3 linked regions of the Alligator mississippiensis genome follow. The protein of the gene in region 1 purifies or fractionates together with the protein of each later gene. This does not show direct contact. Links are inferred from orthologs where the notes say so. Each region holds a gene or a part of one and is shown on either strand. Other genes may lie near its edges. The genes, in order: GNB1, CD81 and PFDN5.

Region 1 (7,697 bases):
AGCTTTGGTTGTGTCAAAATGTAACCTTTAAGCTTTTTAAAGGTATTTGCTATCCCATACTTACTGTAGTTTAAAATAATTGTATTTAGATGTTATATGACTCTAAAAATGGGTACAAGTTAAACATGGGTGAATTAGAGTATTTTCTGTGTAATCTGAGCAGCAGAAAGAGTAGAAGTTTGTCAGAAAGATTAGTAAGAGAATTTGAATGTATAGTTAATCACAAAGCAGAATGACAAGCACAATAGTAGTGATAGAAATGAATGTTGTTTTTGTAATATTTCTGTTGTGGCAGTGGCAGAGCATTGGCAGGACCCTTGTCTCTCCAGCTTTTGCTTGTGCCATGTTATTAAAAGGTCTTGGCATCTTGTAGATGGTTCTAATTATTTGTGAGGGCTTAAAGTGGCAATTTTGGGGATTCCTTAGGTTAACAGTAGCCTACTAATGGAGGGGATTAGACTCGATGCCCTAGGAGGCACCTTTTAGCCCTCTGTTCCTAGTATGACAATGCTCAAAAGCAGTTGGGCTTGAGACCCATTGTGATATGGTCTGTAACGATACAGGTAAAAGTTAACCTCTGCCTTCACTGGCTTTCAGAATCCAGGGAACATCCAGATTTGGGAGCAATGGGAGGATTCTGAAACTGGAACGTAGCAGTTGAGCTGCAGCAACATGAAGCTCAGTGCAGGCTGCAATATGCACCCAAGAAGAAAGGTAAAACAGCTCATGCTTTTGCAGCTAGATTGCTACCGGTACTTGAGCCAGCTAGTTTAAAGCTAACTCAGGTATGTGTACACTACATTGCTAATACTGCTGTGATTTACACCTTTATGGGCTAGTAGTATAACCATTTTACAGATGGGATGATTGCTCCACAGATTGGTAAAAGGCATGAAACCAAGCAGCAGTTCCTCCTGCTGCACCTCTACCAAATGTACACAAAAGGGAGGTGGTGATGTTTAAGCCAGGTTTTCTGGGAAGGGTGGAAGAGATGCAAGATATGCAGTGGATCTAAAGTGAATGTTGATACTGCACAGATATTATTAATCCTCAGCCACCTCCATTTGTATGTGCCAACAGCAATCACATGCACGCAAGAGTGAGAGTGGAGCCCGAGGGCTGAAAACTAGAACACAGCTTTCAGTGTGTTGTGTTTGTGTGGAATCACAGACTGGCTTGATTTAAAGGGATGCTCTCTAAACCAGGAGTACCTGAAGTTGCCTGTTGAACAATTGTTCCCTACTTGGTAACATTTCATAGTGATACCACAGTATGTTGAATATTCCTCATTTTAACAACTAGCTTCTTTGTATTCTACACAAAAGGCTTGTATATTTCCTATGCAATTGAAACGAGAGTTTTTTACTGCTTTCCTAGTGATATGTAGTGTGTTGTACACACAGGTCCTGGGTGAGAGTTCAACCTGCAAAACTCCAGCTCCCTAAAATAACAGCATCCTGGAATGAGAGAAAAGACAAACTCAGGCTAGGATAACTCAAGGTCTTGTAATCATGTTTTAAAGACTGTTGAAATGAACATAGAGCAGCAGACCAGCCCCAAGATCCAGCTGGTTCAGTTTCCCTTGTCCATCAGCGGATTATACCAAATGACTCAAGGAAAGGGGCAAGACATTACATACTCGGGAATGATGAAAACAACTGCTTGCAGCAAAATCTGCTCTTTAGCTCTAGGTAGCTAGGGAATAGATACACTTGGGAATATTAGAAAAAACTTTTCACTAGTGATCTGGGATTCCCACCACTGTTTCTGCTGAAGTGGACCTAACATTTCTGAGAGTGCAAGTTTAGAGAACGTTATGTTGGTTTCTGTCAGGGCATTAAACTTACCAGCTGTCTGCACTATATCTCATTTACATCAGTTGTTGCAGACACTACAGGTTGGACTGATAGACAGAATTAAATATTTAATTTTGTCATCAGACAGCTTAAACTTTGTTTCAGATCTTGATATGTTCATGTTGCCTTGGAGCTACAACAATCCTCTTCTGCTAATTAGGATACACAAGCATTTATGCTGTTGCCAAACGGAGGTCAGGCAAACACCTTTGCTTCCAAGACGGCACTCCATGTGGACACCAAAGTGAAACAATGGTTTTCAGACAAAATATAATTTACTAGTAGCATCCACATTCTTTCAGGAGGCTTCTAAAATGCAAAAGAATTGTCTAATCAGACAATAAAATTAGCACTTGTTTTTTATTGGAGGATGGGTCATAAGTAAACCAGGAACTACTCTAAAAGTTGTATTTTAAATATCTGCTTTGGAAGCAAAAAATAACTGTGACTGGGCATGTACAAGCATAGAGTTCCTCTTCAATCCTCTTAGCCAATCTCCATAAATTGAAAGAGGTTACAGAGCACAGGCACAAGTCTTCAGTCTTCATATAATACAGGGAAGGATACACGTTATAGAAACTCCTGGCTGAAAACAAGATGAACTCCAAAAGTCATTTCTTGTAAAAGGTACAAGAGCAGAATTCCTGTCCATTTTCCTTTACCAACAGTATGTAAGAACAAATTAGACATAAACACCAAGGGAAGGTCATGGGTACAAGTGGGATCTGGTCTCACATGTAGTTGAAATGATGAGAAAGAAGTGGGCGCTGGTTTATTAACGTCTGGTTGCAAAAAACATTTGATGAGATATAGCTTTATGTCCATTCATGTATGGAAGGAGATGAAACCCAGCCCCCAGGGAAAAACACTCTCAGAAGACTTAGGGAAATAAAAGCATCTTTCAAAAGCTTGGAACCTTATTTAAGGCCAATGCAGATATCTTTTTTTGCATTTTAAATCTGCCAAGGTACTTCTGTCAGTCAGAATGAAAATGGTAAAACCTGTTTTAACAATCAAGCTGATGACATTCTCTAAGAACTTTTCAGGCCTAATGGACTTTGCTTAATGGTACTAGTTTTTTTTCACTAGGTCACATATTTTAATGTATTTTGAATCCTGGGTAGTTTCTTTTTTTTCAACACAAATCTTAATACCTATCTATACTACAGAGCCCCAACCAAAGATGAAGCTGGGTCACTACAGGTTGTAGTGTCCAACCTGTAGTGTCTGCAACATGGTACTGGGTCACTACCCCAAATGACACAGGCTAAGATGACAAAGCACCCCCCTACCCAATTTTGTCGTCACAGCCGTCTCCACACCAGGGGTTTTACACTTCTAGCAGACAGGCTTTATTAACCTATTAACCTAAAAATTACAACTTAGTCTCAAGTAGTATATAACACACGCTACAACCACATTCAAAAGTATTTCGAAGCCTACCTATCTGAAATCCCACCGCTCAGAATAAGAGGCTGTTTCGACTGGAACATTGTAATAGCTATGTTTATAATTACACTCTTTTGTCTCCACAATACTTTAACAACATCCAGTAAAATGGACACGTCGCTTCTAAAGGCAAACTCTCATCTCTAGCATAGAGAGAAACAAGACATACACGAGCCAAAGGCCCCAGTCTTATGAACATTTACACGTGCCCAGGTTGAGACACAAATAGTTGTACTGCCTTCAATAGGATGAGTCCTGCCCATAAAGCTTAGCACATACACAAGTGTTTTGTTTGTAGACAAGTTTCCTTGGGTGAATTTGATATCCTTGCGTGAGACGACACAGAACAGATGGCAAGCGCAGGGATGGCAACGCACAGGTCCTGGTGCTCAGTGCTCGAGCCACTTGAGGAAGCTGCCTGGGGGAGGGGAGGTTGTTTGCCAATGCAAGGGCTGAGCGCTGAACTTTAAACACAGGATGTAGGACCGTTCAAACAACATCACAACTGTTGTAAAACAAACAGTAACAAAACATGGATACCCAAGTTCCTCCACAACAACCCACCGTCCCTACGGTGACTAGCTCACACCCTTTCTCGGTCTCATTTTAACCAACTCCACCCAATTTTGAGGTCACGCTCTTCTCTGTAAACCTAATTTTCCAGCCTGCCCCTTCTCAGGACGCTCATCATCTCTTTAAATTGTTTTTTCTGTGGAAGAAAAAGTGGGACGCTTACAAGAAGCCTCTCTTATTGAATAGTTTCAGTATTTTTCCTCATTGCTGTCGGTTCTGGCTTGGTTTTCCTTTCTAGCTCAGCCGGGCTGCGTTGCTCATCGTTAGGATTTTTAAAACCACTTCTTTCTATGGATTTTAAAGCTTTTTTTTTTTTTTTGGAAGGTGTTTCATCTCTTTGTAAACGGACTTCCTGGTCAGGCGGAGGCAGGATCCTCCCTTGCACACGCCGCCACTTAAGAAAGCACAAATACGGGTAAAGTGTGTGCGTGTGTGTTGCGGGGACACCGGCACCAGCACCTCTCTATTGCTTTTACAGGGAGGGCAGAGCGGGGCGGCCGCGGCCTGGCGTCACCTTCCCGCCGGCGGCGCGGTGCTGCCCTCAGCTCCGGCTCTCCGCGTGCTGCGGGGCAGGGCGAGGGGGTCCCGGCCCCCGGGCCGTCCCCTCAAGGACACCTCTGTCCCCGCGTCCGCACCCAACGCCCGCACCCGGGCCCGGCGCTGCGGAACAAAGGCGCGGCCCCTTCCCTTCCCTTCCCCTTCCCCTTCCCCTTCCGGCGGGGCGGGGCGGGGCGGGGCGGGCCGAGCGGGGTTTCCCGGCCGGGCCGTCACGGGCGGGGGGCGGAGGCGGGACCGCGCCCAGGCTCCGGCTCCCGATGGCTGCGGGGAGCTGAGCGGGACTGACTTGGAGCCGACGCCCGGGGACCCCTCGCGCCAGGCGGGCCCTTCTTCTCCTCCTCCCCCCTCAGCCGGAGCGGGCACCGCGGCCCCGGGGAGCAGGTACTGCCCGCCCTTCCTCCTCCTCCTCCTCCCCCCCTCACAGCCGGGGCTCCCATCCCCCCCGCCGCAGCACCCGGCCCGGCCCGGCCCGGCCCGGCCCGCGGCGGGAAGCGAGGCAGGCAGGGAGGGGCCCTGCCGTGTCTGGTGTCGGGGCGCCGGGGGCTTGGCGCGGCCGAGGTGAGTGCCGGGCCGGGCCGCGCCGGGCCGGGCGGGGCAGGAAACCCCGGCAACATCTGGGGCTCGCGGGGGCTCCACCGCCTGCAAGGGTGGGGGGGGTGCACATCTGGAGCTGGCCTTGTGCTGCATGTTTGTGCGAGCCTGAACCCGGAGCGTGCCCCATCATGGAGGATGTGCGCGCCCCGGCAGAACAAGGGAGCCGCTCGCTATTGAAATCCTGTGAAAAATAGATGTGGTTTTTCAAGCCTCGCTTGCTCCCGTACTGTTTTCAGCACCCCCCCCCCCTCCCCCTTTGCTCCTCATTCAAGGGGCTGCTTAGATTAGAAATCTGCTTTTTATTATCATTGCAAAACTGCCTCTCAAAACCTGAAAATGGGCGTAAGGCGCGCACAGGCAGAGGAGAGGAGAGGCAAGAATCAGTTGAAAAGGGGGGTGGGGGGGGAGGAAGAGAAATCTTGTCCAGCAGAATATAAGGATGATGTAGAGGTTATTCTACGGTGTCGATTTATCGTGTGTGAGGATCGGCTGAAATTTTAACGCGTGCAATTTTTCACGGTTCTCCAACCAAGTCCAGCTCTGGACTGGTTTTAAATAAAGCATCCTCGGGCGAATGCCGGCAGCCACGTTGGGAGGCATTGCCTGCTGCTGGGGGATACCGGCTCCAATTAAAAAAAGAAAAAAGCAGGGGGATGGGGGGGAGGGAAAAAAAAGCGAAGCTATATCATTAAAATGGTTTCTGAAGCAGCAGGCTGACCTCCAAAGGGAGGTGTTCGGAGACTGGCATTAAAATGAGATACCGTTAGGTGCAGAAATTACCAAACTGTAAGGGGGGGGGGGTGGGTATCCCACATTTTGAGGCTTGTCCTCTGAACACGGGGATGTGACAAGACAAAACGCGGTCGGTTTCTACGTGGGAAATGCAACTGAAAAAATAAGCTCCTACCCAGAGAGGTAAACTCTTTATAAGCGCTGTACATCAATCTCTTCCGATTCGGCGTGTTTTAGGGGGAGAGAAGGGGTGATAATAGTGCAGTTGTTTTGGTGGCTGCAGATTACCGAGGGTGTGTGTTTGATTTTCTTTTTGCTGTGAATGAATGGATCCTTCTGTGCCTGGGCCCAGTAACTGCAACAAGATGGCGTTTGCAGCAAGGCAGCTCTCTCATTTTCAACTCCTCCTCACCACAGCTTTGCCAAACTAGACACTATCCCTTAGTTGCATTTTAGATTTCTCTCTTTTTTTGTTTTTGTTTTTGTTTCCTTTCTCCTTTTTTGTAGTAGGAGGAAGGCTTGGGAGGTGGGGGGGGTGCAATAAAACAAATATATAGGTATTGCTTATTTTTAATTTTTTTTATAGCATTTCCCCCCAGTACAGGAGACTAGGTGGGAGGAGTAAATAGTTTTATTGAAATTTTCACATAGGCTGTGACTGGTTAAAGCAGTAACATGATGCCCAATGTCTGTTCATAATGGCATTTGGAAAAAAAAATTCTAGCTTATTTCAGCAACAAATTTTAACGAACACATATTTTTATATAATCCAGAATTGAGGTCTGTATGGAGAAAACCTGTATAAAAGGCTCTGTAGAACTGCATGTTTCCTACCATCCTAGTAATAATTAGACCCCCATGTAGACAGTCATATCTTTTTTTTTTTTTTTTTTTTTCTTATCATAGAAAGGAAGCGCCCTTCTGCTTCAGAGCCCTCCAATGATTTGTGGAACCTTTTAAAACTGCATTTGACCTGAAATTGTCAGTTTGCATAATTATTCTTTTATATTAGATGCGGGGGAGAAGAAATGAAAAGGCTATTTGCATATTAAAACCTTTTTCTGTGTTCCTTGCCCTATTTTAAAAATTACATCATACATTTATAAAATCTTTTAAAAAGTGGTTTTGTAGCACCTTAAAGTGTACATTTCTTAATCAAAGCCTATTAGGTTTCCTGGTTTATTAATTATAGAAAGCTAACGTTCCCTCCCTCCCCCCCCCCCCCAGTTTAGACACTTGATTAAAATAAACAATTCAGCTGATACTTGACAAAAACAGATTTACTTATCCTCAAGCATGTTCAAATGACTCTTAACAGTTCTAAAATATATGTCAAACTACACAAAATATTTGGCTGCTTTTTTGATGCTTTCTGAATTAAAATTTTCTCTCTCCTCTTAATAATGGTATGTGAATTCTGGTATTGCTGTGTGGATTTATTTTTGTATAATCCATCACTTGCCAGATGCTTTTATAGCTTAATTTTCCTAAGGCTATAGGAACCTTTTTATGATTGAAGTTTTTTTTCCCACTCTTTAATTTTTACAGGAAGTATATAAATCCCAAAATGCTTGTATTAAAGAAATTAACATTTCTCTAATTAGCTCAATAACTCATAGAGAACTTTTAAAAAATCTGTCAGCATAAAATTTCAGTTTAATTTTTTTGTTGTGTTCCACTGAATTTGAAACTAACAGTAGTATTAGTACTTGGTACTAATACTAGTACTTCAGATATGTTTTTAAGCTAAAAAAGAAATAAATGGGGGGAAAAAACATTTTAGTCTCCTGCATTGAGTGACTAAGGCAATATAAATTTATCTCTGCTTAGTAGTCCTTCCAGTTGCTAGGTTAGTTTGTAGCAAGCATCCTATCATGAAAACTTAGTTGGTACCTGAGGTTAGAAACCCAATATCAGTCCTGGTGGAGCAGTGCA
Region 2 (7,482 bases), on another chromosome or scaffold:
CTAAGGGACTAAGAGTGTGGGACCAATGAAGGTCCAGGAGCCCAGAGGAGGGTCTAAGTGGAAGATAACATCCGTGAGTGAGGCATGGGGTATGGTGTAGGGGAAGAATGGAACCATGCAATTAGCCCATAAAGCAAGGACCACAGGAATCTGGTGTTCATTTGAGAGAACAATTTAGGATGCCCTGGTGCAGCCTCCCTCATATAAAAGTAAAAGACATCAAGGTGTGGTGGGTGGCTGAAGGGGTGATGATTGCCCACAGAAAGTGAGGGCTAAAGGGACTCCAGGGGCTTCATGGCCATCCCAGGAAAGGCACCTCATCACAATGAGCAAATAATACATTTTACATGGCAAGAAAAAAAGGATTAAAACTTGGTTTCAGGCAAACATTTGTGAAATTTTACAGTATTTATTTTGCTTGAGTGTTGCTTTTCTTCATAGGCAATGTGTAGGGGAGGCACAGGGTGGGGGGCACATGCCCCCCTGAGATTGGCCCTTGCCAGCCAGGGAGTGTGGGTGCCAAGAGAAGCACTAGCTGGTGCCCACCCTGAGTTTGCGGCCGGCCAGGGAGTGGGGGTGCTGAGAGAAGCACCGGTGGCATTTTTTAGGTTTTGCTGTGGGTGCTTCCAGGGTCAGCCACTGGGGGACCCCCTCTTTACCCAGTCAGTGATCAGCTGCTGGGGGATCCCACCCCCTGGTCACTGGCGCTCCTCCAGACTCAGGAGCCACCAGTCACCCATGGTTTTTTTCTTTCCTCATGTGCTAAAACATCAAACTGCCTTATCTGCACATCAGAAAGCAACTCACACAAAGGAACTCTCATGGACCCAGAGAAACATGCATCCACTTTTAGCTTCTTCTGTGCAAAATTAAGTTTATTTTTTACCTCAGGGGACTTTTTACCTTCTTTAATTTTCCCCCAGCCTGAGGAAGGGCACAAAGCTGGCAAAGAAAGATAATTTTTTGTGATTTCTTAGTTTGTCTAATAAAAGGTATCATCTCTGAACCAAGAGTTCTAGAATTTTGCATTTCTTTTTATCTCAGACAAACACGGCTACCAAATACATCTCTGAAATTCATGCACACCTGACATGCATTTCTTTGGTGGACATCTTAAAATTCAGAACCCGTAAACACTTGTATACTTTAGTTTGCCATCATAAACAAGGCCACTGTTTCAGTGCTGCTGTTCATGGTAAGAAAGTTATATACAGGCAGAAGTGTTGGCAAGATCAGGGCTTCCTACAAGGTGCAGGACTTAGATGAGGGGCAAAAAAATAATTTACAAATGCTTTTCCAAATCTGCAACTGCTGGATAGAATCTGAATCCAAGCTGGTTATGCAAAATTGAGTGCAGCCCTAAACATTACAGAATACAATGGCAAATAGGTCCTCTGTTGTTGAATTCAGTGGAGACAGATACTTGATCCAGTGAAACAAGGGTTCTCAACCTTTTTAAGATCCAAGGCACCTCTGGTTAGACTCGAGGCATCCCTCAAAAATGCACTCTCTTAACTTTCAGTTGTTTTTTGACTATGGGAAAATAACTAGAGCAATTTTATTGCAAAGAACCCAGAAAAAACACAACAGGTCAGAATGTTTTTGACACAATGGTTTCCTCTTTGAAATCTCTGGGATTATCTATGAATCGTGCATGGGTGTTTGCATATTGCAGCATCCTTAAAATGATCTAGCACAGAGGTAGGCAAAATGTGGCCCGTGGGCCAGATCCATCTCATCAGCTGATCGGATCCAGCCAAAAGGTGGGCACCCACCAGTTGATTGCATTTGGCTCGCAGCTGCCTCCGCAGTGTTCTGCATGGTGCCAAGCCCTGTCTACTCCCACTTGGGGCAGCCTGCATTGCATTTCTGCCCATGCCCATCCATGGCCCTGGCTCGTCAGTGCACACAGCTTCCTAGCAGGGCTGCTCCCTGAGTGGCTGCAGCTGCGCGGGTACTGCTCAGATCCCTATGCCTCCAGTGGCTTCTTCTCCTCCTGCTGCAGCGCTCTGGGCAGCAGGTAGCATGGGGAAGGAGGGTGGCTGTGCTGGGTGGAGACACGTGCTGGGCACCACATGCCCAGCCAAGTGGGGGGAAGCTGCAGTCGGGCAGCTCCTGCCCCAGCATATGGGGCTCCAACTCCTGGCCGCCTTCCACCCACTCGGCCACCTATAGGTGGCTGCTTATCCTGCCAGGTGAGGTGAGTGGGTGGAAGGCAGCTAGGAGCTGGAGCCCTGTGCGCTGGGGCAAGAGATGCCTGGCTGCAGCTTTGCCACTGTCTGGCTGGGTATGTGGTTCCCAACATGTGTCCCCACACTTACCATAGCCGCTTCTCTGCATTACTTGCTGCCTGGAGCAGTGCCACAAGGGCAGGAGGAGAAGCCACTGGGGCTACGGGGGGCACTGAGCAGTACCTGGGTAGCTGCAGGCACATCAGGAGCAGCCCTGCTGGAAAGCTGTGCGTGCTGGCCAGAACTGGGGCTGTCAACAGGTACAGGAAGGAGTGCAGCATAGGCTGCCCTGGGCAGGAGCGAGCAGGGCTTGGCTTCATAAGGAGCACAGCTGGGGCATCCATGGGCTGGATGGGAGGGGTGGAGATCACCCCTGCACTACACAACCCAGGTAAGCTCTATTGAATGTACCCCCTGCTCCCCACTCCCTTCATCCCCCCACTTCTGGCTGGCTCCTGGGACTTAATGTGCAGGCAGCCTCTCCCCCCCACGCACGTGAGCACCCCCCACCATACAATATACAAAAGTAAGACTTTATTTTGAACTATTATGCAATTGTTTCTATATACACTACTCAAAAATACATAAATCAGGACAAAACATATTTTTTGAAATAAAATGTGTTATGATAGATGTGTGATTTTTAGTATCTGATTTAATTTTTTTAATTTTTTTTACTTATAAAACTTATTGAAACGCGATCGCCCAAAATATTTTGTGTGTGGCCCTGGATGGTTTACCAGAACTCGTTAGGTGGCCTGCCAGCTGAAATAATTGCCCACCCCGATCTAGCAGCAGCCAAGATGCCATGGCATCCTGGTTGAGAACCATCAGAACATCAAGCAGTTAGTGTGCTAAAGATGGTATCTTTTATTAGACCAACTAAGTTGCAAAAAAAAAAAAAAAAATCTAGTTGGTCTAATAAAAGATATTGCCTCTAGCACACTGACTGCTTGTTTTTGTACACCAACGCGGCTACAACCTATTGTGCGGGCCGGGAGCGGTCTGAGACCCTTGGGGGCACGCGGTGGGCTGTGGCCAGCAGCCTGGCATGTGGGTCGGGGAATGCAGGCCGGCGGACTAGAATTAGGCAAGGACGTGTAGCGGTTGATTAAAGATTATTTTACTTACACCGTAGATGGTTGCGGTGCAGGCAGGAGAAAACTTCGCTTAAGTTGCAGTTACAAAACTCGTACGAACAAGACCCGTAGACAAACTCGAGCCTCTTGAAATAACTCGGAAAGAGCTCTGGATACACACACGCAAAGTTTTCTAGGCTCCGTGGAACGAGCGCACAGGGAAGGGTACATCGAGGGATTAGGCGGTGACAGGGGGAGGCTAGAGATTGATCAGGCCCCTATATCCTTCTTAAGGCACACGCTGGGTTTGTTAGGCTCTGCAGCGCTTAGAGTTCTTCACAAGATGTGAACTCGTCCTCATCCTCCTCCAGATGGTTGTGAAGTCCTCCAACTTGGGCAGAAACCGCTCAAGCCACGTAGGAATAATTTAGAAACAGCCAATAGTGGGGAACAAATTTGCATGCAGGTGGCAGGAACTCCTTTGCACCGGGGTTTTCTCTTTGCAACTGAGAATTGCACCCTGCAAAGAAAGCTCCTCGTGGCGGGAAATAATTCTGCAGTGCTGAAGCACACACAAAATCATACCCTTGGGTTATGACACCTGTATCCACCAGAGCCTCAATATTTTGCTTTTTTCTGTAGTTGCTTATAGTCTGAGGGGTCTTTTGGCGGAGACTATTTTTCCATAAGCCTTCGTGGCTCATATTTGCTGGGTGACTGGAAAAAAGCAAGTGCTGTCTGGATGGTAGCTCCTCTCCCTTTCTGTGTTTGTGGGGTATGGATCAGAAAATACTTTTTTTTTTTTTTTTAAAACATATAGATAGATACAGCATCTAGGATAAGCTTTTCTTCACACACCTTAAACCATATTTAAAGCCTAGCACCTGTTACAATAAACACACCCACACACAGTCCTTTCCCTAATCCAGTTGCAGTCTCTTAGTCCTAGCCTCAATTTTGCGGTTTACAGTCTCAGTTCATTCACTGTCGTTGTCACTGCTGCTGTTCTATGGATGAGGACAGATGCACAGGCTGCAGAGAAATGAGGGGTAGATACCCCCAGGAGGCGGTAGCTTCCCTTTTAAGATGGCCTGTGCTTGGGTGGGCGGATTGCAGGGTGGGGGTGTCTCACAAGCAGGAGGAGCCAGAGAAGCAGTCCAGTTTTCTGCTTATGTTGTGCTTCAGCTCGAGGAAGAGAAGCTGTGATCAGGCTCTGCAAGAGCAGCAGCTCCATCTCACGCTCTGATTTATCAGGCCACAGCGTCCAGGCAGCTTTGCTTGCAGAAATTTTCAGCCATGGGAGTGGAAGGCTGTACCAAGTGCATCAAATATCTGCTGTTTGTCTTCAATTTTATCTTCTGGGTGAGTGCATTTGCTTGGGGTGCAGTTTTGCATGTGATTTAATGGCTGGGGAAAACGAAAAGGGAGTGGGGGTGGGGGGGGGGTAGAGAAGGAAAGGAAGGTGAATGTTATGTTTCAGCTTGCTCTCTCCTGCTCCTGGCTGGTGTCAGATTGCCACCAAAATAATGCAGCAGGCTCAGAAAGGAGCTGACTTTCCCATCCTCTGCAGGAGAGAGGCACAGAGCTTTCTTCTTTTTCCCTAGCAGCTCTGGGGGATGAGACCTGGGGAGGGAACAGCAGCAACCTTTAAGTGGAGAAGATGGAGGGGGGAGGGAAGATTGGCTCACCCCAAAAATGGGTGTTGCATTGATAACAGAGCCTAGCTTGCTCAGAAAACCAAAGCTGGGAACTATCTCTTCCCATCCCCCTCCCCAAAACCACTGCTACAATAATTGATTACAATAATTGAGTCAATTTGTACCACCCCCCTCTTTCTTTTGAAATGGCAAATGTGTTTGGTTTGCTGCGTGTGCAGATGGTCTTCAAACTTAATAAACCACCTGTGAGCTGCACTGGGAAAAAACAATGCTTGGGAGACAGCCTACTTGTTTGTCTGCTAGGTTGATGGGGCATGCCTCTGTGTTCAGTATACAGGTCTGCAGCCATATAATAATCGAGATTTAAGACACTTGGAAAGGTTTTATTTTTTTTAGCTCTGTGGTATGTGTTTTGGTTTTGTTTGTGCCTCCCCTTGGGTTCTAACTGATTGAAAGTTGAGACTCATTAATTGCCAAAATATATGAAAATGTAATGGAGGCCAGGGCTTTGGAGTTGAAAGTTGATCTTTCCTGGTCTTTCTGTCATGTCAAGAGAAAATGAGAACTGTGTCCTTTAAAGAGAAAATGCCAACTGTGTTCTACGTATACAGGCTTTTATATTCAAGGCCACTTGATTTTTGCCAAACTTTTTTAATACAGGCAGCAAATTTGGATCTGGACAATGCATGTAAATGGCTCGAAGTGATGAGAAATGGAGCTCCTAAAAATATGTTTAACCAGTGGTAGGATTGTTCTGTGTTTTGAAAGATGGGTGGAGTGAGAGATTGCAGCCTCTACATGGGAAGTGACAGTCTGTTGCTGTGGTTGAGGTTGCTATAGCTTGCTGCTTTGGAGATGTCGTTCTTGGAGGCTCTCAGATGTCACCCTTTCCTGCCGTCTGCCTCTTATGTGGAGAACAGTTTTCAGCCTGGAGGGTGGGGGTTAAAACTTGCTTGGTGGCTAAAGTAGGCGGATGATGGTGTCTCAAAAGAATTGGCCACTCCGAGCTACTTCCCACACTCCTCCCACCTATCCCTCCCTCCCTGCCTGGAGAATTTTGCAGGGACCACACCCCACTGCTCAGAAAAAGTCTTTGCCTCATCTGCAGGTTCAAGAGGGGTTTGGGTTTGTTGGGTTTTTAAGTCATATTCTGTAGTCAGTGCAAGTTGGGAAATATTCTTTCCTACTATTTGGAAACAAGCTGTCTTCCCTGTGTCTGTCCAGAAAGGGCATCCCAGAGGGCTCCAGCAATTAGGGGGGAGAATAGTCAATATACACAGCTTTGTTAATTCAGCAATTGGTCACATCCTTGCATTTCTCATGTGCGAACGTTTATAGATATGTAACCAGGATAAGTGTTACTGCCTAACTTATGATGAGCCACCCCCGCTTCTGGGAGAAATAATAGGAATTGGGGGTGGGGGGGAGAATGTCTTTTGTTCAATTTAGCTGTTTATTTTTCATATGTTTTTCCTCCCCCTGAGATTGCTGGGGAAGCTCTTGTAGCTAGCTATCATTACTGAAAAACAGTGGAAGCTGTTGCGGTCTTGTTGTAGGTTGGCAGTTCAGATAACACACAATTCTTGCACCTTTGCCAGAATGAGATAGTTGCTTAATACTTTCTTGACTGTGGCCCCTGGTTTTAGAGTTAATGTTTTCCGAATGTTTATGAACACATGGCTATGTCTGACCCTTCAGTCTACTTTTTAATCTGAGGTCACAGCACATCTGGGTGCTGATCGGACACTGCAGAGTGGCACCATTTGAGAGATGCAGTTTTACATTAGTTAGCAGGGTGATTTAAAAAAAAAACAAACCCAAAAAAATACCCTGTGGATTCCCATTTTCACTGAGTTCTGCAACAGTGTTCCTTATTAGCAACTAGAAAGAGCAGTGGTGATGATGACTACAGAGGGGAGCTCAAGGAAGGGGAAACCTGGTAAAGAAACTTAAAAAATCCCAAATGACTTGGGGCTTTCTCACTTAAAAGGCACCATTCATAAAGGCGCTCTATTTACATGACCAAGTCCCCACCCAGGCCAAGGAGCAATGATTATCAGACAATGCACCACTAACTGATTTGCTAGGTATGTAAACAGGAGATGCCTTATCACCCAAAGCCTGATTGTTTATTTGCTGGGAATTTCCTATTTGTTCTGTTACTTTCTTAGTCTTTAATCCTTCCCCTCATGCTGAGAAGCGGCAGTCTTTCTATAATATTGTGCATATCAATAACATCTCCACCAAAAAAATCTTGGAGGATTTGCTAGCGTGGGATTATGAAGATGTACTGTGCCCCCGGCAATGCAGTCATTGGCCCTGTTTTATGAGTGGGCAAAGTGACATCCAGGGATGCTTTTTGTCATTGGTCAAACTAGGAGTAAAACCTTGGTCTGTCAGATACTTTAACTGTAAGACTACCTTCCTGGGGCTTTATATTCAGTACACCTGTTGAATCAATTGGGGTGTTCCTGAACCCAGTTTGGATTCAGGCTGAACTGGGAGCACCCTTGC
Region 3 (7,859 bases), on another chromosome or scaffold:
TGTTCCAAGCCGGGAGCAGATGCAGGCGGCGCTCATGGAGCATGATCTGTACATGTAAGTGGCCCAGGCTGCTGCACTCCTGCCCTGTCCCAAGTCCAAGGAGGGTGCAGGGAAGCAGCCCAGACCCCAGGTCTTAGTACTGTGGGACATTCCCTTGGCCTGGCCTTTCTGTCTGCCATGATGACATCTATGCTGCTGGTAGAGCCCTCTACAGTGGCAGAGCTGGTTACCAGCCAGGCCAGGGGCCTGTTGCTTTCTTGAGCTGCTCTGAGGTACAGGGTGGGATGCTGGAGCTGTGTGCCATCACAAATCAGCTTTTCCCCCACCAACCCCCATTGTTCTGCCATAGCTATGCTGGGCATGGGGCAGGTGCCCGCTTCCTGGATGGCCACTCGATCCTGAAGCTGGACTGTGCGGCTGTGACCCTGCTCTTTGGATGCAGCAGTGTCGCCCTGGCTGTACGTGGCAGCCTCGAAGGGTCTGGCATCGTCCTCAAGTACATCATGGCCGGGTGGTGAGTTCAAGCCCAGCACTGTATGGGCCATGGGGGTGGCGGGGCTCCTATGGCTGCTGGGCCCTGCAGTGGGGGCCAAACCCCTTCTGAGGCAGCTGCAGGTGAAGCTGAGGGTCTCCTTCCTGGTCCCTGCAGAGGCCTGGTCCTGAAGCATGAGATCTGCTTGCATCTTGCTTAGCTAACAGGGCTCTGAACCGAGCACCCTCCTTGTAAAGGCCCTGCCCCAGTGCATGCCCCCACCAGGGCAAACCCAAATCCGAGGCGCTCAAACTCCATGGCTGTCAGCCAGTTGCAGAGCTCCATCCCCTGCCCTGAGCTCACCCCCTGGCTTTTCCCTCCCCACAGTCCCCTGGTCCTGGGCAACCTCTGGGACGTCACCGACCGCGACATTGACCGCTACACGGAGGCGCTGCTCCAGAGCTGGCTGCGGGCAGGGCCAGGTGCCCCCCTCCTGGACCACGTCATCCAGGCCCGCCAAGCCCCACGCCTCAAGTACCTCATCGGTGCTGCCCCTGTGGCCTACGGCCTCCCTGTGTCTCTGCACTGAGGAGCCACAATTGGCTCTCTGGGGGTGCCCAGCTCAGTGCCTCAGCCCCATGTTCTTCCACAAAGCAGTTACCTGTAAAACCGCCTTGAAGCCAGACCTGCCTTGTGGCTTAAGTGCCTTGAACTCTGCAGCTGATCTTGGCCTCAGCTGACCCTAGGGGAAGGTCCCAGCTGGAGCCTGGGGAGGGGACCTTTAGCCCTGCAGCTTTTGCACAAGGGCTGATTTGTGGGGATCCTGTCCCTGGAATCTGCATTCCTAAAATTTTAACTTATTTTAATTAAACCCCAGTTTTCATCTGTCACAATCTGGTGTATGTTGCACTTTGTACCATTGAAATAAAGCTGTAGAGTCTTGCTCGGCCTGCACGGATTTCCTAGGCCTCAGTTCACAAGGGCAGTTGGCACTTATTCCTTGTCTGGCACTGCCCGGCTTCTCTGCCCTGAAATTTCACCTAAATAAGAACTTGGCACTGCCACTGCCCATCTCTTCTGGGCAGGCTGGGGCCCTGGCTGTGGGTACCAATGTCAACAGGCCTCCTGCCTAGGCAGCTGCATTGGTCTAAAGCAGTGCTTCTCAACTTCCTTCATAGCAGGACCCATTGGTTTAGTGCCCCTTGCTCATGACCTTCAGCCCCTCCCAACGGGGGGTGGGGAGAAGGGGTGGCAGCAGCCCCTTGCAGGCTGGAACTCTGCCAGCCTGCAGGGGGAAAACTGCAGTTTCCCATGGTTTCTTTTTTCTTCTTTAAAAATAGATTCTCCTTTAAAAAGTTTGTTCATGACCCTTTCATATATTCTTGCGACCCACTTTTGGGTCACAACCTGCAAGTTCAGATATGCTAACCTAAAGTGTGCTTGCCGTTTCTTTTGGAGGGCGGGCGGTGGGAGGGGGAAGTGCATGGCTCTAGGATGCTGCAGTCACTGCTCATGGGGTATAAGTGTGGATGCTTGGTTCACTGGTGCTGCTCTTGCGCTGGATTTGGGTCCAGGCCTGAGGTAGAGCACTAATAGTTGTCACCCCTCAGTGTCTTTGCTAGTGGCTGTGTCCTGGAATTGTAGAAAATGTGGGTTGGGAGGGACCTCGGGAGGTTGCATTAAGTTCAACTACCTGTGCGAAGCTTAGCAGTAATGCCAGCTAAGGGGGTGTTCCCAGGACAGTTATACCAGCCCCAACCCTTCCACAAGGGCTGGGCTCATGCTATTGGTGAGGGCAGCCAGGGGCACCCTATTTATAACCGAGCGTAGCTTGACTGGTTGGAGCAGGGCTCGCGTGATCTGGGGTTTTGTCACCTGCCAGTGAGCTGTCACTGTGCCTCTCTGAATCAGTTTTTCTGCAGCTAGTCTGTATGGTGCAGCTCGGCCCTGCTTCAAACCTGGCGAAGTCCTTTCTTTCGGAGCCGTGCAAATCCAACCTGCTGAGGCTGTATTGCTCCCTGATTCCCTTTGTACCCTCTAGTGCTTGTTGATATGCCAGGTCTCTTTACAACCAGTACAGGGATTTGGATAGCTCCTTCTGTCCAGGGCCCTGGTGTGTCATTCCCTTAACCATAGCCTGAATGCTGGGAGGCTGCAGCAGTGAAGGCAAAAGATATAGACTTCACCCTGATGTCAAACTTGATAAAGAGTCAGCCCAGCTCTGCACAACCCACTGCCATGGTGATGATGCACTAGAGCACCTGGCTGTTACCAGACCTAAGGAAATGTTCTTCTCCTTTCCTAGCACTGGCAGGAAGGGTGCTGATGCCTCTGCCTCTTCCAGCACAGCAGGGCTCTGGGGTGTGAAAATGTTGTGCAGGGACCTCAGCCCTTGCTCTCAGGCATTCATTTTTTGCCTTGTGATTAGCATGTGTTTCATAGTTTCTAGGGTTGGAAGGGACCTGAACCCATCATCAAGTCTGACCCGCTGCCCTGGGCAGGAATGAGTTCTGGGATCATAATACCTCAGACAGAAATCTATCCAACCTCCTCCTGAAGATCCCCAACGTAGGGGAGAGCACCACCTCCCTTGGGGCCCGATTCCAGAGCCTGGCAGCCTTAACTGTAAAGTAATGCTTCCTGCTATCAAACCTGAACTGTTTCTATTTGCATATACCTATTCTCCACTTTGGGACTAAATCTCCAGGGTTGGAGGGTCTGAGGGGAGCAGGGGCCATGGATGTTTGCTCGGTCTTGGGTCTAGTGAGCAGAAGAGCTGGGCACTCTTCCCCTTTAGCAAGACTTTTGAGGTTTGTTTAGGCAGGCTTTTGATGCCATTTCCTGTACCATTCTTGCTACCAAGCTAATGAAGTATGAGTTGAATGATTGGACTATAAGAGGGATAAAAAACTGGCTGGAGTTCATAGAATCATAGAAGTCGGGTAGGAAAGGACCTTGCAGATCCTAGGCCTCCTGCCTTGGCAGGAAAAAAACTGGGCTCAAATGACCCCGGCCAGGTAGGCATCAAGCCTCCTCTTAAAGACCCCCAGGGTAGGAGCCAGCACCACGTCCCTTGGAAGTTGGTTCCCGATCCTAGCTGCCCTGACCGTGAAGTAGTTCTTACAGATGTCTAATCTAAACCTACTCTCCAACAACTTGTGGCCGTTTTTCCTTGTTATTCTGGGGGGCGCTGGGGGAAACATGGTCTCCCCTAAACCCTTCTGGTCCCCCCTAGTGAGTTTATAGATGGGCACCAGGTCCCCCCTCAGCCTTCTCTTGTGAAGGCTGAACAGGTTCAGGTCCCGTAGCCTCTCCTCGTAGGGCCTGCCCTGCTGTCCCCGGATCGTGCGGGTGGCCCTCCTCTGGACCCTCTCAATGTTGTCCACATCCCTCTTGAAGTGGGGTGCCCAGAACTCGACACAGTACCAGTTGTTGGGTTCAGGTTAATAATCAGTGGCTTAACGGCTAGCCGCTAGCCGGTGTCAAGTGGACCGTCCTCATGAGGCCAGTTTTGTTCAATATCCTCATCAGCAGTCTGGAAGATGGCACCGAGCGCGCCCTCAGCAAGTTTGCAAATGACACCAGGCTGCAGGGAGAGGTAGATACGCTGGAGGGTTGGGCCAGGATTCAGAGAGACCTCAAAAGATTGGAGGATTGGGCCGAAAGCAATCTCATGAGGGTCAACAAGGACAAGTGCAAAGTCCTGCACTTAGAACAGAGCAATCCCATGCACCGGTGCAGGTGGGGGGCTGACTGGGTGGGCAGCAGCTCTGCAGAAAAGGAGCTGGGGGTGAAGCTGAAAGTGCCCTTGTTGCCCTGGGCTGCACTGGTAGGAGTGCTGCCAGGAGGTCCAGGGAAGTGAGTAATCATTCCCACCCTCATGGGCTCTAAATCTATGCCCCACGCGCGCCCCTTAATTTGCATACGTAGCTATACCTCATGTGCATCCCCTCATTTGCATATGCAGCTACATCCATGTGCGCCCATTGATTTGCATAAGTAAATATATCCCACGTGCCTACCCCGTCGTTTGCATAGGCAAATATATCCCACGTGCAACCCATCATTTGCATATGCAAATGTTCCTCTTAAAGCCTGGCCCGCCCGGGCTTTCCTTGCACTTCCCTGTCCCCGTCTGGAGCATCACCGCCCCCCCCCCAGCAATGGCGGCCGGAAGTTGGAAAATAAGTCCCCCACGAAGCGAGGAAAAGGAGGGCGGAAGTTGAGAAAAAGGTCCCACCCCTTCGCATACCAATAGCGGCCGGAAGGAAGCACGGCCGCCGCCGCTCTTCCCAGGGCTAACCATAGAGAGGAGCGCGACGGGAGGGGCGGGGCACACCATCGAGCTCGGCGGCCGCGGGCCAGAGCGGCGCCGTGCCCCCCCCCCTCCACCAAGATGGCGCAGGTGAACATGGCGGAGCTGTCGCTGCCGCAGCTCGAGGTGGTCAAGAGCCAGCTGGACCAGGTCGGCCCGGGCAGGCCCCGCCCCCGGGAGGGGGGCATTAACCCCTTCAGCACCCCGCTCTGCTGCCCCCCCCCCCCGTTAACGCCTTGTGGACAGGCCTGGGTCCCTACGCCCCCCTCCAGGGTCTGATCCTCCCATGCACTGATGCAGACCTACCTCCCCCCATTAACCCCTTGTGGGCAGTGCTGGGTCCCTGACCCCCCCCCGTCTGACCCCTCCATGCACTGATGCAGACCCCCCCATTAACCCCTTGTGAACAGTGCTGGGTCCCTCCCCCCCCAGTCTGACCCCTCCATGCACTGATGCAGACTCCCCCATTAACCCCTTGTGAACAGTGCTGGGTCCCTCCCCCCCCCAGTCTGACCCCTCCATGCACTGATGCAGACCTCCCCCCCATTAACCCCCTGTGGGCAGTGTTGGGTCCCTCCCCCCCCCAGTCTGACCCCTCCATGCACTGATGCAGACCTCCCCCCCATTAACCCCCTGTGGGCAGTGTTGGGCCCTCCCCTGCCCCTATCATCCCCCCCGGGGTCTTTCCCCTGCCCCGGGGTCCCGGGAGGGCTGTCCCCTCGGCTGCCGGCCCGTGCGCGGGGGGCTGATCTCCCGGCTGTGCGGCCCCCGCAGGAGGTGGAGTTCCTGTCCACGTCCATTGCTCAGCTCAAGGTGGTGCAGAACAAGTACGTGGAAGCCAAGGACTGTCTCAACGTGCTCAACAAAAGCAACGAAGGCGAGTGCCCCCGGCCTTCCCCCGCCCCCCCGGAGGAGGCGCTGTCATGCCGGTGCCCCTGGGCAAAGCAGCACTGGGCCCAGCCCCACCCGGTTTGGCCCCACGCGCCTTCCTGGGCTTGCTGCCACCTGGAGCCGTCTTCCCTCGCACCCAGATCCCCAGGGGAGGGCGTCTGCCTGGCAGCCGGGACTCCCGGGTTCTTTCCCTGCCTCTGCCGCTGCTGCGCTGATTCACAGCCCAGGGCAGGGCAGTCTCCGCTCAGGTTCCCCGTGGCCTTGGGCTTTGCTTACACGGCTCCAGGCCCTTGCTCCACGTCCTTCCCCTGCAGAGCTGCAGGTGTCCCAGCCCCGCAGGGCCCCGTGTGTCCTGCTGCTGGTTGCCAGCCCCCCCCAGTGCTGCAAGGGGGGTTGGTAATTAAAAGCACTGACATTTGCTTTGCCTCCACAGGGAAAGAGCTGCTGGTCCCACTTACCAGCTCGGTATCCTCCAGCCGGCGTGTGCAGCCTGTACTGATCTACCCCTTAACCCTTCAGGCCCCAGGAAGCAGCCTGCTCAGCCCTCCAGGGGGCTTTATTAGCAGGGGTCACACTGGTGGCTGGGGCACTGGCTGAGACAGTTAGAGCGGGTCACTTCCTCGCATCCAGTGTGGTTAGGCAGTGAGCTCCTGGGGCAGCTATGCTCTCACTCGGTGTGTGGCACCCAGCACAGCAGGCTGAGCCAGGGCAGGGCCTTAGGGCCGTAACACAACTCACCTGGCCCCCAGAGTTCAGCTGGTAGCCCCCAGTATAACTGTGCTGCTCTTATACAGCCCCCCCCCCCCCCCCCCCACCTGGGCTTTCCTTAACCCCATCAGATGTATGTGCCGGGGAAGCTCTCAGATGTCAACCACGTCCTCATCGACGTGGGGACTGGCTACTACGTAGAAAAGGTGAGAGGGGCTCTGGGCTGGGAGGGGGTCATACCTGCCCAGGAAACTCTGTTTAATCCCTCCCCAACCCATCTCTGTGCAAAGTCCAGCTGCTTCACAAGTGACTGGCCATGTCCCTGGTAGGATCCAGGTCTGGGGGATTCCAGGGTCTCCTAATCCAACCGCCTGCACAGATGCAGGGTTCACTGATAGCACCTGGCTACCTGGGTGGCCCAGTGTTTGCCATGTTACATGCCTAGAAGTGGGGATCTCGCAACCTCTTCCCTTTTGCAGTCGGCTGACAATGCCCGGGATTTCTTCAAGCGGAAGATCGATTTCCTGACGAAGCAGATGGAGAAGATCCAGCCGGCGCTGCAGGAGAAGCACACCATGAAGCAAGGTAGGCATGGGCAGCCCAGGTCTGGCACCAGGGCCTTGTCCACAGTTGATGCCAGCTCTGCTCACCATGCACCTTTCCCCCTTGCAGTTGTGGCAGAGGTTTTGAGCCAGAAGATCCAGCAGCTCGCAGCCGTGGGAGCCTCACAGGCAGCCACCACCAAGGCATAGCCCTCAGCCGTGGCCTGCGCTAGCCCTCAGCCTCGCCTGGGGACATTGCAGTCAGGCAGAAGCCAAGAAGCTGCTGGGGACGGAGCTATGGAGCCCCTGCCCCCTGCGGGAGGCCGTGCAGATTCTGTCCTGTCACATATGTGCCGTGTCCACCCAGGGGACCCCCCCCTCCTTTTTTTTATATGTTGCACATGCTGTTGGTGTCTGGGAGAAATAAAGAATGGAGAACCAGCGTTGTCTGTGTCCATGAGCTTTTTGTTGGGAGGCAGAGGGGGCTGGAAAAGGCAGGGATAAGGAGAAGCTGTTCCCAGGCTAGTGGGACAGTAGGTTGGTGTTGGGGGTGGAGGTGGGGACATGGGTCTCTACTTGGAGCTGGGACACAGGTGAGGGGCCAGCGCTGCGGTTGCCACAGGGCAGAGCTCTGCTTCCAGGCTCCTGCACCCTTTCGGGGGGGAAATGGGAAACCCATTGAGCTGTGGCAGGAGTAGCCCTGAGGGTGGGCAGCTCTGGAAGGGAGCCAGGCCCTGGTACCCCCTTTCCCCTCCACTAGGAGCAGGGTCCAAGCCCAGGGCTCTGATGAGCAGTGCCTATGCTCCCCTGCTTCAAGAAGCAGCTGGAGTCAGGCACTGGCTAGAGGCCACAGGAGAGGGGCAGGATGATCCCTGCCAGTCTTTGAGCAGCATGTAAAGCTTCAGCACCACATCCTCCCCAGACTGGGGGA

The links.
Region 2: the proteins of GNB1 (region 1) and CD81 purify together in Homo sapiens (co-immunoprecipitation; 4 studies listed by BioGRID and IntAct, with this or other methods). This does not show direct contact. The link is inferred for Alligator mississippiensis from reciprocal best matches to the Homo sapiens genes GNB1 and CD81.
Region 3: the proteins of GNB1 (region 1) and PFDN5 purify together in Homo sapiens (co-immunoprecipitation; 3 studies listed by BioGRID and IntAct, with this or other methods). This does not show direct contact. The link is inferred for Alligator mississippiensis from reciprocal best matches to the Homo sapiens genes GNB1 and PFDN5.

Annotation. Positions count from the first base shown.
Region 1 is NC_081836.1:13,022,533-13,030,229, reverse strand, and holds the start of GNB1 (guanine nucleotide-binding protein G(I)/G(S)/G(T) subunit beta-1), read left to right. Parts: upstream 1-4,653; 5' UTR 4,654-4,817; intron 4,818-7,697. UniProt on the Homo sapiens protein: Guanine nucleotide-binding proteins (G proteins) are involved as a modulator or transducer in various transmembrane signaling systems.
Region 2 is NC_081825.1:188,706,148-188,713,629, forward strand, and holds the start of CD81 (CD81 antigen), read left to right. Parts: upstream 1-4,465; 5' UTR 4,466-4,606; coding exon 4,607-4,672; intron 4,673-7,482. UniProt on the Homo sapiens protein: Structural component of specialized membrane microdomains known as tetraspanin-enriched microdomains (TERMs), which act as platforms for receptor clustering and signaling.
Region 3 is NC_081838.1:9,180,671-9,188,529, reverse strand, and holds PFDN5 (prefoldin subunit 5), read left to right. Parts: upstream 1-4,830; 5' UTR 4,831-4,868; coding exon 4,869-4,937; intron 4,938-5,561; coding exon 5,562-5,664; intron 5,665-6,111; coding exon 6,112-6,143; intron 6,144-6,517; coding exon 6,518-6,592; intron 6,593-6,865; coding exon 6,866-6,971; intron 6,972-7,058; coding exon 7,059-7,138; 3' UTR 7,139-7,371; downstream 7,372-7,859. Other genes in the region: ESPL1 (separin), read left to right, coding at 1-54, 350-514, 860-1,061. UniProt on the Homo sapiens protein: Binds specifically to cytosolic chaperonin (c-CPN) and transfers target proteins to it. Binds to nascent polypeptide chain and promotes folding in an environment in which there are many competing pathways for nonnative proteins.